Linked DNA regions of Schizosaccharomyces pombe. Each later gene encodes a partner of the first gene's protein in a complex. Each region holds a gene or a part of one and is shown on either strand. Other genes may lie near its edges.

Region 1 (3,896 bases):
GCTGTTGTGGGAATCGAACCCACGACCACCATCACCCTAAGATGGTATCATACCACTAGACCAAACGGCCACTTTAATTATAATAATTTTTAAACTTATACAATGAAATTAAAAATAATATGAGTAATATGATGGTATTTCTATAGTTTTAGTAATTTTGTGGGATATTTGGAGGTCTTTTCATAACTTAATTTAATGGGACTAAAGTATTTCATTAATGATCTAATTTATGCTTATTAAGTAAGGAGTTTGTTTACTCCCTTAATTTAGCGTTAGTAAACAAGAATACAAGTTTCTGTAATTTAAGAGTATGAATTTCAATTGCAATCATAATACCATCTCATACATATGGAAGTTATTCTCATTTACAGTTTACTTGCAGGGTACTGCAACTACGTGTAAGTAAATTGCATAGTGCTTGTTTCGATAATGGAAAATATATTTTTGAGCTACTGCTAGCTTCTGAGTACTATTGTCTTCTATGCTAATTTAAGCAATTTTGTCTAATTGAATTTGTTCTAAATAAAGCGAAAAAACAATATAGTTAGAAAAAGCACATTCTTTAGAAGCCTATCGAAACTCTTACATTTTAATTTACAAGCTTTGGTGCATTGAGCAATATTAGGCAGTCGATTAATTGATCTATTTCATCAAGCAGTCTAATAAAAAGCAAACACGATGCCGATTCAAAGAATTGCAGTAACGGTTTGAGTCAGTGGAGTATCAGATTCTAGGATACGAGAAAACGCAGAAAGGTATTCTTTTATTGTATTTGCATGGATTGTAAACTACTGGTAATAACGTTACAAAACCAAATCATTACTTTAACAAAGAAAAAGAAATAACGATCAGCCTACGAGATTAAAGCCCTAAAATGAACAAATTCACAACCCTTAAGCGTATTAATGGAAGTTCATGAAAAAATTGAACAGGATACGTATGCTGTCAAAAACTATTTCCAAAAAATGATTTATGTAAAAAAGATGGAGATTAGATTCAGTAAGTTCCGGAAAAGGCTTAAATGTCGAAATTTCAATAATCCGCCAAGTTTATATAGAGCTAACTTAGTATAAAGGAACCGGAAAACGAAAGATATTTTCAAAAAAATTGGAAAACAAGGAAATAGTGAATATGACAGATGACAAGGAATTTTTGGATACAATACGTTGATTGTAAGCATTAAAAATTATTAATACTTCGTTTTATCGCACAATTAAAATAATTTACAAGTACCAATCATTTTTAAACTGCAGCAGGAGCTGCAGAAGTGGAACCGGAAGCCGGGGCATCAGGTATAACTGGAGCGACAGGACGATTATATTCCGCATTCATACGGCCCAAAGCAATACCCAAACCCTCAAAAACAGCCAGAATACAAGCGCATCCAATTGCACCGTTACGAGTAGCCCTCCAACCGCCACGAACTGCTAAAGCACCACCGGTAAAAAAGCCTGCAATAATAGCGTTCCATGGGTCTTCTTTGCGACGAACACCTTTGACGGCACAATCAAATGTACTAAACAAACCACCCCAAACACCAAAGTTACCTCCCAAAACGGGAGCTCTAGTTTTAGCAGCTGCAATAGCAGAAATTCGTTTTTCTCCCTAATTAATAATTTCATTAGCAAATGCCTTCATTCTATTGCGCATTCAACTTTGCACTACTTGATTTAACTTACCGGTGGACTGTTCCTCCATCCTTTGATGGAATGCCAAATGGCACCACCTATAGTACCCATGGAAAAAGCAGCACCGAAATCATTCAAAATCACATAAGGACAAGGATCCCTGGTATGATCCGCGCTAGCCATTTTTTTCTATTTTCTGAAATGTTTCGATCCCTTGTGTTATCCAAACTCTCCGTATTTAATCAAAAAGCAAATAACCTTTCTAATTAATCGTAAAAAATGCTAGTTTACAGCCAGGTCGTCGTCTACTGACTGCACGTCAAATTTCGCAGGTTTGAACTAGGTTTACTCTTGCAGGCAACTCTATTACTCCCTCTTACTCCCTGTTTAACGAGTGCTGACGATTCCGCAAACAGAATTCAGCATCGTAAAGCGGAGCTTACAATACATAGCGTAGCTCAACGTAATACAAATTGTCATTTGAAAATTGAATAGTTCAGCTTAGCGGACAGTTGGATGAAGCTTGTTTTCTGTGCTATATAAATTGTGAAATTTAAAACAAATTTATGAAGGCATTTTAGTTGTCCACATGTTTCTTTCTGAAAGTGTAACAATACCTTTACAACTACGAAAACAATTGAAAAGTATGTGCTATATGATATTTTCGATATTAGACAGAGCGATTTATTATGCTTTAAAAGTCGATATACTAAGAAATTTCAGTTTTTTTGGTAATTGGGGATAATCAAATTTTTTTTTTTTTTAATAGCAAAAAGTATTTGTTCAACTACGAATGAAAATAAATTCTACTAACATTAGGAAAACAAACATAATATTAGGGCATACATTCACGTTAACACAAACAAAGAAAACAGAACTATCGATTAAATTAAAAAAACGTAGTTTATCGAAACTACCAGAGGAACAACCTAAGCTTCAACAAAATCTAAGGAAGAAGGAACTTGTGGAACAATGTTTTTTTTTCGCAAGAACTCTTCGTTATACAGTTTTGAAAAATGGCGAGATCCAGGATCGCAAAGAAGAGTAACAATTCGATGACCAGGGCCCAACTTTTTAGCAAGACGGACAGCAGCGACGCAATTAACAGCAGAAGAACTGCCGACAAATAAACCATCATGGGTGACTAAGTATCGAGACATAGCTACGGCCTGCTCATCAGTTACTCTGTAAGCCATATCAATAAGGGGTTCAGCGATAGAAAAGTTGCGTGTCATTCGATTAATACCCACTCCTTCAACGATGGTATCAACCTGATGTCGCCGACGAGTTCCTTCTCGTTCAGCCAAATCAAACATCACACCGTGAAGAACTTTATGATATAGGCCACTTCCGGGAGGATCAGCAAGACAGACGGTGATGGAAGGATCTTTGGACTTTAGGTAGCGAGAAATACCAGCGATAGTGCCACCCGTACCAGAACCGGCAATAAATGCATCTAATTTTCCAGCACATTGACGCCATATTTCAGGACCGGTAGAATTGAAATGAGCTTGCCAATTCGCCGGATTCTCAAATTGATTAGCAAAGTATCCTTTGCCAGGAATGGACTCGTCGACGGTATGATTGGCAGCATTACGACGAGCCGTATTTACAAAATGATTTGGATCGACGATGGGAGCTGGAGTTACTCTTTGAACATGAGCACCCAACAATTCAAGTATGTCACTTTTTTCTTTAGATTGGTCACTAGGCATATATATACGAGAGTCATAGCCAAGTGAACAACAGAGCATAGCTATCGAAATACCAGTAGAACCGGCGGTTCCTTCATAAACAGCATTCGATTGATAAGGTACTAAATCTCCATTTTCTTCTGCTGTGCGAATCATCTGCAAAGCAACACGATCTTTAGGAGAATTTCCAGGGTTCAGAAATTCCGCTTTGGCGAGGATATCGCAGCCCGTCGCTTGCGAAAGAGATTTTATCCTGACCATTTTAGTATTTCCAATTAGTCCTTCTACTCCATTTACGATGTCTTCTTCCAACGAATCGGCTGACGATTTGACGCGAAGAGACTCGTACAAACGACGTAAAAGGTACATGAAAACTGCACCCATGGCGATTCCACTAGCTAGATCCTGATATTTTTTCGCCATTACATAAATCCTCTCGGTTTTATAATGTCAAACGTTTATATTTACACAAACTGGGTGTACTCTACGATAACACAACAACCCAACCACCAATACTGTTGGTGCTTCCAAAAGATAAAATTAACAAAAAAAAAGACGAACAAAAATCCACGAG
Region 2 (4,365 bases), on another chromosome or scaffold:
CAAGGCAACATATAATGAATTGGAATACTAGTCACCAAAATCACTTACCACCACTAGCAATTGCAAGACTGAAAAAGTAATTAGTAAAATAGAACAGTACAAAAGAAATAAGTATATTTGTAAATACCCTCCTATAGCATTGAATCCACCACACAAAAGACAACCAGGAACGAAAGGACCGCCATAGGGTCGTTTAAATGCTCTAGGTACAGAAGCAATTACTGTTTTATAGAAATTAGCTAAATACTGAATTAATTAATTTCGCATACAAGCACCACCAAAGGCTAAATTTAGTTAGTTCACGTTGTGAAGTTGATTCACATACCATAAGCAGGGATATAGCTTTGATATATCCTTTGGAAGTATGATTTTCTGAGTTCTTTATTTTCCATTATGAGTTCTTACAAGGAAGATTAAGTTTACAAGAGACAAAGGTGAGATGGGAGAGACTGAGTTGCACTTGCGTAATGTCTTAGACGATGAGAAATAAACCTGGGCAGCAGTAATTTGTATCTTTTGCTTTTTATTTTAAATAACATAATATTTTCTATAAATTTATGTCTAAAAATCTATCAACTTAAATTGCATTGATTTGTGGCTTTTTCATTTGTAACAGGAACACTTGCTAGGATTGGAGGAATGTACTTATGGTATATTTCACGTTCACAATAAATATATTAATGATAATAGGTCTTTATCTTTAACGGATCATACTTCTGGTTCAATATTGCAAGGATGGACTTGCATGTTATGAACGTATTAAGTTAGATATCTCGAGTCAACTATCCAGTCAGATTTATACCGAAAATCAATAAATGTGCAGACATTGACATTAAATTAGAAAATCATCCTTTAAACAAAAGCAAACTAGGAAATTTGATTTGAAGGCTACGACTTGTTACGCTAACGACTTTTCATATTTCCGAAGGCCACTGATTCGAAAGCTAAAGTGTAGCTGAAGTAAAATCACAAGGCTGTATAAAAATCTTTAATTACCTTGAATTTACCTGATGAAGCGTAAACTTCACAAAAGATGTCAATTTTTCAAACTGTTTGAAATAGATATATATTTCAAATTTTAATATCTACCATCTCTAGCGGCTATGCCCGAGTGGTCTAAGGGGGCAGATTTAAGAGGCCTCGGCCTTGATCCCTGCTGTTGTAAAACGCGAGAGTTCGAACCTCTCTGGCCGCAATATATTTTTTACAAATTTGTTTGATGACTCGCAATAGCGCGTTAATTTGTAAACAAAACAACATCTTGAATTCTTAATTTTGCGCCAATTCTCTTTTTTTCATTTATAATGATAGAATAATATATGATCTCGAGTTATTGCTGTGATCCTTCGAAAATACAGAATGCAATATTACAAAATATTTGCAAAGTGGATTCGTATAGTAAGTGATGTTTTTTGCAAGAGAAAAGACAACTGGCTTGTTTCGCCCATTGTCTAAATTAAATTATTCCGGAATTAACTCTTTAAAAATTATCTGGTAAATTATTTTATAAATCTAATAAATTTTGGCTGGAAACATGAACCTTCTTACCGTGCATTACCACCCTCGTTAGTATAATAATCCACAAGCATTCTTTTAGCATAGGACAAAAACTCTGTTCCTTTTTCCATTTCTTTTCCCTTTTTTATGATACTTTTCTCGATTTATTTGTCAAACCTATCGAGTCATACTGTCCGTCTTATTATTCTCCTGCTAATAGATGCATAAAAATAAAGGAGGTTTTACGAGATACCTTACAGTTTGATATCTCAGTGCACTGAAAATACATGGTTTCTTAATGGACTGACACTACGCAAACAACAACAAATTGCCGTACAAAGATAAAAAAGACAACAACATTCAAAATGTTGAACAGGTCTCTTCTTTTTCGTAATTTGAGGCTTGCTAGACCTCGTCCTTTTTTGCCCCTTGTTGGCAAACGGTTTGTGACTGAGAAAAGCCAGTCGCAAGAGGAAAAGGACACATCAAAAATCACCGAAAACGCAAAAGAAGAAGTTAAACGGGACACTTCTTCACTTGCGAAAGAGTCATTAAAATTACTTGATTTAAATGGTTTGAATGATGAGTCCTACACTGGAGACCCTGGAAAAGGACCCGAGTATACTAGTTCAACGATGCTAAAGCGAGAAAAGCAGGCTCGTTATGCATTTTGGGGTTTCTTGGGATTAACGGGAGGTGGTTTACTTTACTACGGTCGTCGCTATGGTCCTGATGAGAAAGAACTAGAAAAGCAGTATCCCGCTGCTGGTTATTCCCCTTCAGATTGGTGGAATAGGGTAAAGGCCCGTACAAATAACTTCTTCTCTTACTATCAGGAGCCTGCATTTGAAAAGTTGCTCCCTGATCCTCTTCCTGAACCTTATAATCGACCTTATACCTTGGTCTTAAGTTTGGATGATCTTTTGATTCATAGCGAATGGACTCGTCAACATGGTTGGAGAACTGCAAAGCGTCCTGGTTTAGATTACTTCTTGGGCTATCTCTCCATGTACTACGAAGTAGTCATCTTTACTAGACAGTATTTAGCAACTGCCAAGCCTATCATCGATAAGATTGATCCATACCACGTAAGTATTAGTGCCGTACTTACTCGCGAGTCAAGCAAATATGAGAAGGGTAAGGTTATCAAAGATTTATCTTACTTGAATCGTGACCTGTCTCGAGTGATCATGATCGATACGAATCCCGAGTCATGGTCCAAACAGCCTGATAACGCAATTGCCATGGCTCCATGGACAGGAAATCCTAAGGATAAGGAATTGGTCGGATTAATTCCTCTTTTGGAGTTTATTGCTATCATGGATATTAAAGACGTTCGTCCAGTTCTTAAAAGTTATCAAGGTAAAAACATTCCCCTTGAGTATGCCCGCAGAGAGGAAAAACTACGCACCAAGTTAATTGAAGATTGGAATGAGAAGAAGAAGAAAGGCAGTTCCTTTTTGTTTGGAGGACGGAGTGTATCTGAAGAGCCACCCAAATTAATCATTGATATACAGCGTGAGCGACAAAAGGCTGCTTATGCTGAATTTAAAAAGTATATTGACGAAAATGGACCTAAAATGCTTGAAGAAGAAAAGGCTCGAGAGGCTGAACAAAAAACAAGCATCTTTAATCTTCTCTTCCATCCAGAAGAGGTTCAGCAACAACAGTTAGAACAAATGCAGCAACAACAATTTTCACCCGAAACAAATGCTTCCAAATAGGCTTTCGATGAAACCCGTGTCAGCGTTTCCTTCCTGAAGAACATTCAAATGAAATAAGAAAAAGGAAAAATTAAACAATAATACGTCCCTTGTGCTTGTTGCTGACTGACACAATGCGGTATTCCGCTTTATTTTGTTCTCTAATTTATGAGAAAATGTAACAACTTTCAAGTCGTATCATTCTGCTTATTTTGGCTTCGTTTTGTCTCATGCCCATGTCTTAATACTTCTTTTACAGGACGACAATTTTGCTTTGGTACTTTGGATTCCTTTTCTCCACCCAAGCTCCGTTCTTTCTAATTCATTTCTCCTACGTTTCCAAGGGTATTGGTGCAAATTCGAAATCTTATTCAAAATTTACTTCTTATATTCAATTCAACCTACAAAAAAGTATTCTTTTAATTTTTTCCTTACTGGTTTTTTTTGTGTACGGACCATGCTGGGAATACGCTGGTCTTCCGAGTTTTTGTTCCTTTATACTGCGCACTTAAAGTGTTTACCTTCTTGGGTCATCCTATTTAAAAATTTGACTGACTATGTAAATTTCCACCAAAACAGGGTATCTATGAATTCTTGTATATAAGCATCAATCAAGGGTTTCCTTCATTTTCGTAATAATAATAATATTGTCCATCTATTTTTTTTTTACTTTTAGTGAGAATTTACCACTGAGTTCCAAAGAAAGCTTTATGTACTGCACTATGTGTATTATCCTTTGTTACCTATGCTACCCTTTAGCCTACTACTACCACATGTGGACTATATGTATTAAAAGAAACTACTAAGAACCAACCACTTTAAGAGCCCACACATCATACCAAACAAAAAACGGGTTAGCTCGCCTGTTATACTATAGTTGAAACAGGATAAAAAGGAGTTTTTACAATATTTCACAAGTTGGTGTGAGTTATGAGACTGAAGGATATAAGCAAAACGGCTACGTTGGCGTGGTCGCCCCGCGGGGTGAATGATAACCAAGCTCTGTTAGCGTTAGGAGGATATACCGGGACGGAGGGTTCTAAAAACAGCGACACCTTGCTTGAATTGTGGAATGAAAATCCTGAATCACAAAAACCCGTTGGATCTATCGACGTGAAGACTAGATTTTACGATTTAGCATGGGAGAAATCGTTAGATAAGCCCA
Region 3 (3,756 bases), on another chromosome or scaffold:
AAACATTCATTTTTTTTTTTTAGACTGTATTTATAACGCTAAATACGAAATGGACGACAAAGAATTGTTTGATCGGTCTATATTTGAAGAAACTAATCAGTTACATTTGTATGATCAATTGAATTATTTAAAAAAGAATGACCTGCAAAAGTTTAGGAAACTTTTAAATCAAGTTCAGCAATTGGACTTACGGTCATTGTGGTTGAAGTATCGAAATGCTAAAGCGACAAGCCAAGAGAACAGAAAATTGTCCCCTTCAGAAGTTGGTCCACTATCTATTGTAGATACGTCTGACTCAAGTTGGTGGAGAACAGGTCTTCGGGAAATTGCTAGAGGTCATGTAGCTGCCTTAGTATTGGCAGGAGGTCAAGGCACTCGACTTGGGTTTGCTGGTCCAAAAGGTTGCTTTAGACTTGGGCTGCCTAATAATCCGAGCATCTTTGAGCTGCAGGCACAAAAAATTAAGAAATCGTTGGCGCTCGCCAGAGCCGCATTTCCCGATCAAGAAGCCTCTATAAGCATTCCATGGTATATAATGGTTTCTGAATGTACGTCAGAGGAGACAATTTCTTTTTTTAAGGAGAATGATTTCTTTGGTATTGATAAGAAAGACGTTTTTTTCTTCCAGCAAGGAGTTTTACCTTGTCTAGATATCTCAGGTAGGGTCCTTTTTGAATCTGATTCTTCATTAGCTTGGGCTCCTAACGGCAATGGAGGTATTTATGAAGCTTTGCTTTCCTCTGGTGCATTGAATGATATGAATAGAAGAGGTATACTCCATATTACGGCTTATAGCGTTGACAATGTTCTTGTTTTGCCGGTTGATCCTGTATTCATAGGAATGGCTACTACTAAAAAACTTGAGGTTGCCACTAAAACTGTTGAAAAAATCGATCCTGCTGAAAAAGTGGGTCTCCTTGTATCTTCCCATAATCATCCTTGTGTTGTAGAGTACTCTGAAATTTCTGACGAAGCATGCAAAGCTACAGAAAATGTTGATGGTCACAAGCATTTGCTGCTTCGTGCGGCTAACATTGCATACCATTATTTCTCTTTTGATTTCTTACAGAAAGCTTCTTTGCACTCAAGTACCCTTCCTATTCACCTTGCATGCAAGAAAATTCCATTTTACGACGTAACGTCTCATCATTATACTACACCTTTAAATCCCAATGGATATAAACTTGAGAGTTTTATTTTCGATTTGTTTCCCAGTGTGTCAGTTGAAAATTTTGGATGTTTCCAGGTACCACGTAGGACTTCATTTAGTCCTCTAAAAAATTCAAGTAAATCTCCCAATGACAACCATGAAACTTGTGTAAACGATATTTTGAGTTTAGGTAAAAGCTGGATTTTAAAGAATGGTGGTATCTTAAGTCCAAGCGACTGCACCTATGTTTCCCCAGAATGTAGTTTACAAGGAGAATCACTCGAGTGGATTAAAGGGAAGCAGGTTAGCAATTGTAAACTTTACTAGTTTCCTCTCCTATATTCAACTATTTTTAAAGGTTTATATAAACAATGTAACAAAGTCAATGTGATAAATTTATTTACTTTCATTTTATATTGTACAATAATCGTCGAAGCACTAATTGCTGTTCTTAATCAGCAAATCAACATTCAGGATTTCAATTACGGTTTTACTTCGATTGTTAATATATTAATTTAATAAATTAATTGACCGTGCGTTTATTGAATTTATTAGTGACTGAAAATTTTCTAAATCATCTTCCACCTAATTCGCTTTCGTTCATTTTAAAATAACCCTGACTTTTAATATATCGTTGTTTAATCATGATGTTGCATTATTACTCCTTTCTTTTCAAGCTAAATACTCTCAAATTTTAGTATGCTTTTTACTAAATTACCTGACTAACGGAATAATGAGGTGTAACAACCATATCACTGCTAAAGCTCAAAAATTTAACGAACTACATTGCATCCTATGTCGAGCTCACTAGACATTGCCTTTATGCCGTTTAGCCTCGTCACTATATACATCTTCTTTGCATCTTTTTGTATCAACTAGATGATTCGTACTATTCAAAGGCAGAGCGCTACAAGGTTTTCTTCAGCTTTGGTTCAGAGGAGATTATACTCTTTGGCTTCTGATTCTCTCAATAAACAACGGAAACCACAAGAAGAAGGGCGCCTGGCACGAATTTTCAAAGATCCGTCTAACAAAGCTTGGAAGGATTTGACGGCTCCTCAAAAAGCATACAGAACTTCTGCTAATATTGGAAATTTTTCGATTGTGATATTTGGAGGCGGCGTTTTCGGATTGATTATATATGCACTTGTCACTAGTATCTGGAAGGGCGAGGCACATTACGGTGATGAAGCTTTTGAACTTTTAAAGGCTAATGAAGAATGTCGATATGTTTTTGGAGATCACATGAAAGCCCTAGGTGAAGCCACGCATCCTCTTCGTCGAACTCATGGTATATTGACTAGTCGTGTGTGGGATCACCATGGTGTAGAACATCTAGTACTACAATTTCACTTAATCGGTAATGAGAGAAAAGGGCACGTATTTGGAAGACTTGTAAATGTTCAAGGTGACTATAAATGGGAATATCTTTTCGTTGATGTTGCAAATTACGGAAAAATCATAATTTTTGATCATACCAATTCTGTACGACAACAACATAAGAATTTTGGTTTATGGGGAAGCTTAAAAAATATTACATGGGGAAATTAGAATTTCCGAATGATAAACGCACGACGGAAAGGTATAGCTGTTAATTTCAACCGAAAAGGAAATCATTGAATTATTTCTCGATTTTAATGGTTTGATTAATGGTTTTTCGCAGAGAATTAATTTTCTAATTTACGAATTAATTTACAGGCGATGTTAATGATTTTTATCAGAATTAGCACACTTAGTTATGCAGTATTTGGATGTATATTGCAAAAAATAAAAAAATCGTCGACACTTTATTACTAATTAAGCGATCGAACCTCATGATTTGTTGTTTAATTAGTTAGTATAAAGAAGCGAATTTGTACGAGGGGCCTTTTCGCAGGGGCTGATTAATCGCCAATCTAATGTACTACCTAAATGTGTTTAGTTATAAAAAATATAAGAATGATTCAAAGCACATGAAATAATTTTGATTATTAGATATAAAGTACAAGATGTAGGCCGGTATTTATAACCGAGTACACTAATCCATATCCAACTAGCAATTAATTATATATTAAATTTTTATAATGACAAAACGCAACGCATTCAAAAAAGATGAAAAAATCTGGTATATAATTTCCAAATAAACAAATTAAAAAAGAAGAAAAACAAGGATAAAATACTTAAGTTTCGACAAAATTAAGCAGCAGTCGAGTCTTCATTATCCGGCAAATTAAACAATCCAAACCATAAATCGTCACCAGTACTAGTATCTTTTAAAAATTTGTCGAAGTCAAAATCATTTAGAAGAGCCGCATCGATGTCTGTTGAATTTCCAACATCCAATAATTGATTGTCTGAAGATTTAGTGGCAACTGTGGTAGACTCCGTAGGTGCAGAAGGAGTCGCGGAAGTATCAGGATTTGATTTTCCTGACTGATTTTGATTATCCAACTCAGAATCGGATTTGTGAACATTTGCTCCTTGCGATGGTTCCAAAGCAGGACCTACACTTGTTGCTTCATTTGTTGATGATTCGGGGTTGGTAGTGTTGACGGTCGGTGCTGGAGTTGGAGCATTTGAATTAGCAGAAGAAGGCTTTTGTTTTGATCGAACGTCCAATGGAGAAC

What was found.
Region 2: tim17 (region 1) and tim50 share a complex: the UniProt entries of both Schizosaccharomyces pombe proteins name them as parts of the TIM23 complex.
Region 3: tim17 (region 1) and tim21 share a complex: the UniProt entries of both Schizosaccharomyces pombe proteins name them as parts of the TIM23 complex.

Annotation. Positions count from the first base shown.
Region 1 is NC_003424.3:1,449,400-1,453,295, forward strand, and holds tim17 (TIM23 translocase complex subunit Tim17), read right to left. Parts: upstream 1,976-3,896; 5' UTR 1,812-1,975; coding exon 1,680-1,811; intron 1,606-1,679; coding exon 1,243-1,605; 3' UTR 528-1,242; downstream 1-527. Other genes in the region: cysteine synthase-like protein Cys12, read right to left, coding at 2,558-3,745. UniProt on the Schizosaccharomyces pombe protein: Essential component of the TIM23 complex, a complex that mediates the translocation of transit peptide-containing proteins across the mitochondrial inner membrane.
Region 2 is NC_003423.3:1,399,274-1,403,638, reverse strand, and holds tim50 (TIM23 translocase complex subunit Tim50), read left to right. Parts: upstream 1-1,810; 5' UTR 1,811-1,862; coding exon 1,863-3,221; 3' UTR 3,222-3,851; downstream 3,852-4,365. Other genes in the region: protein aim19, read right to left, coding at 49-68, 128-221, 270-284, 326-392; COPII-coated vesicle-associated protein Sec31, read left to right, coding at 4,131-4,365. UniProt on the Schizosaccharomyces pombe protein: Essential component of the TIM23 complex, a complex that mediates the translocation of transit peptide-containing proteins across the mitochondrial inner membrane.
Region 3 is NC_003423.3:4,397,291-4,401,046, forward strand, and holds tim21 (TIM23 translocase complex subunit Tim21), read left to right. Parts: upstream 1-2,008; 5' UTR 2,009-2,029; coding exon 2,030-2,701; 3' UTR 2,702-3,111; downstream 3,112-3,756. Other genes in the region: uap1 (UDP-N-acetylglucosamine diphosphorylase Uap1/Qri1(predicted)), read left to right, coding at 50-1,477; adn2 (transcription factor), read right to left, coding at 3,326-3,756. UniProt on the Schizosaccharomyces pombe protein: Essential component of the TIM23 complex, a complex that mediates the translocation of transit peptide-containing proteins across the mitochondrial inner membrane. Required to keep the TOM and the TIM23 complexes in close contact.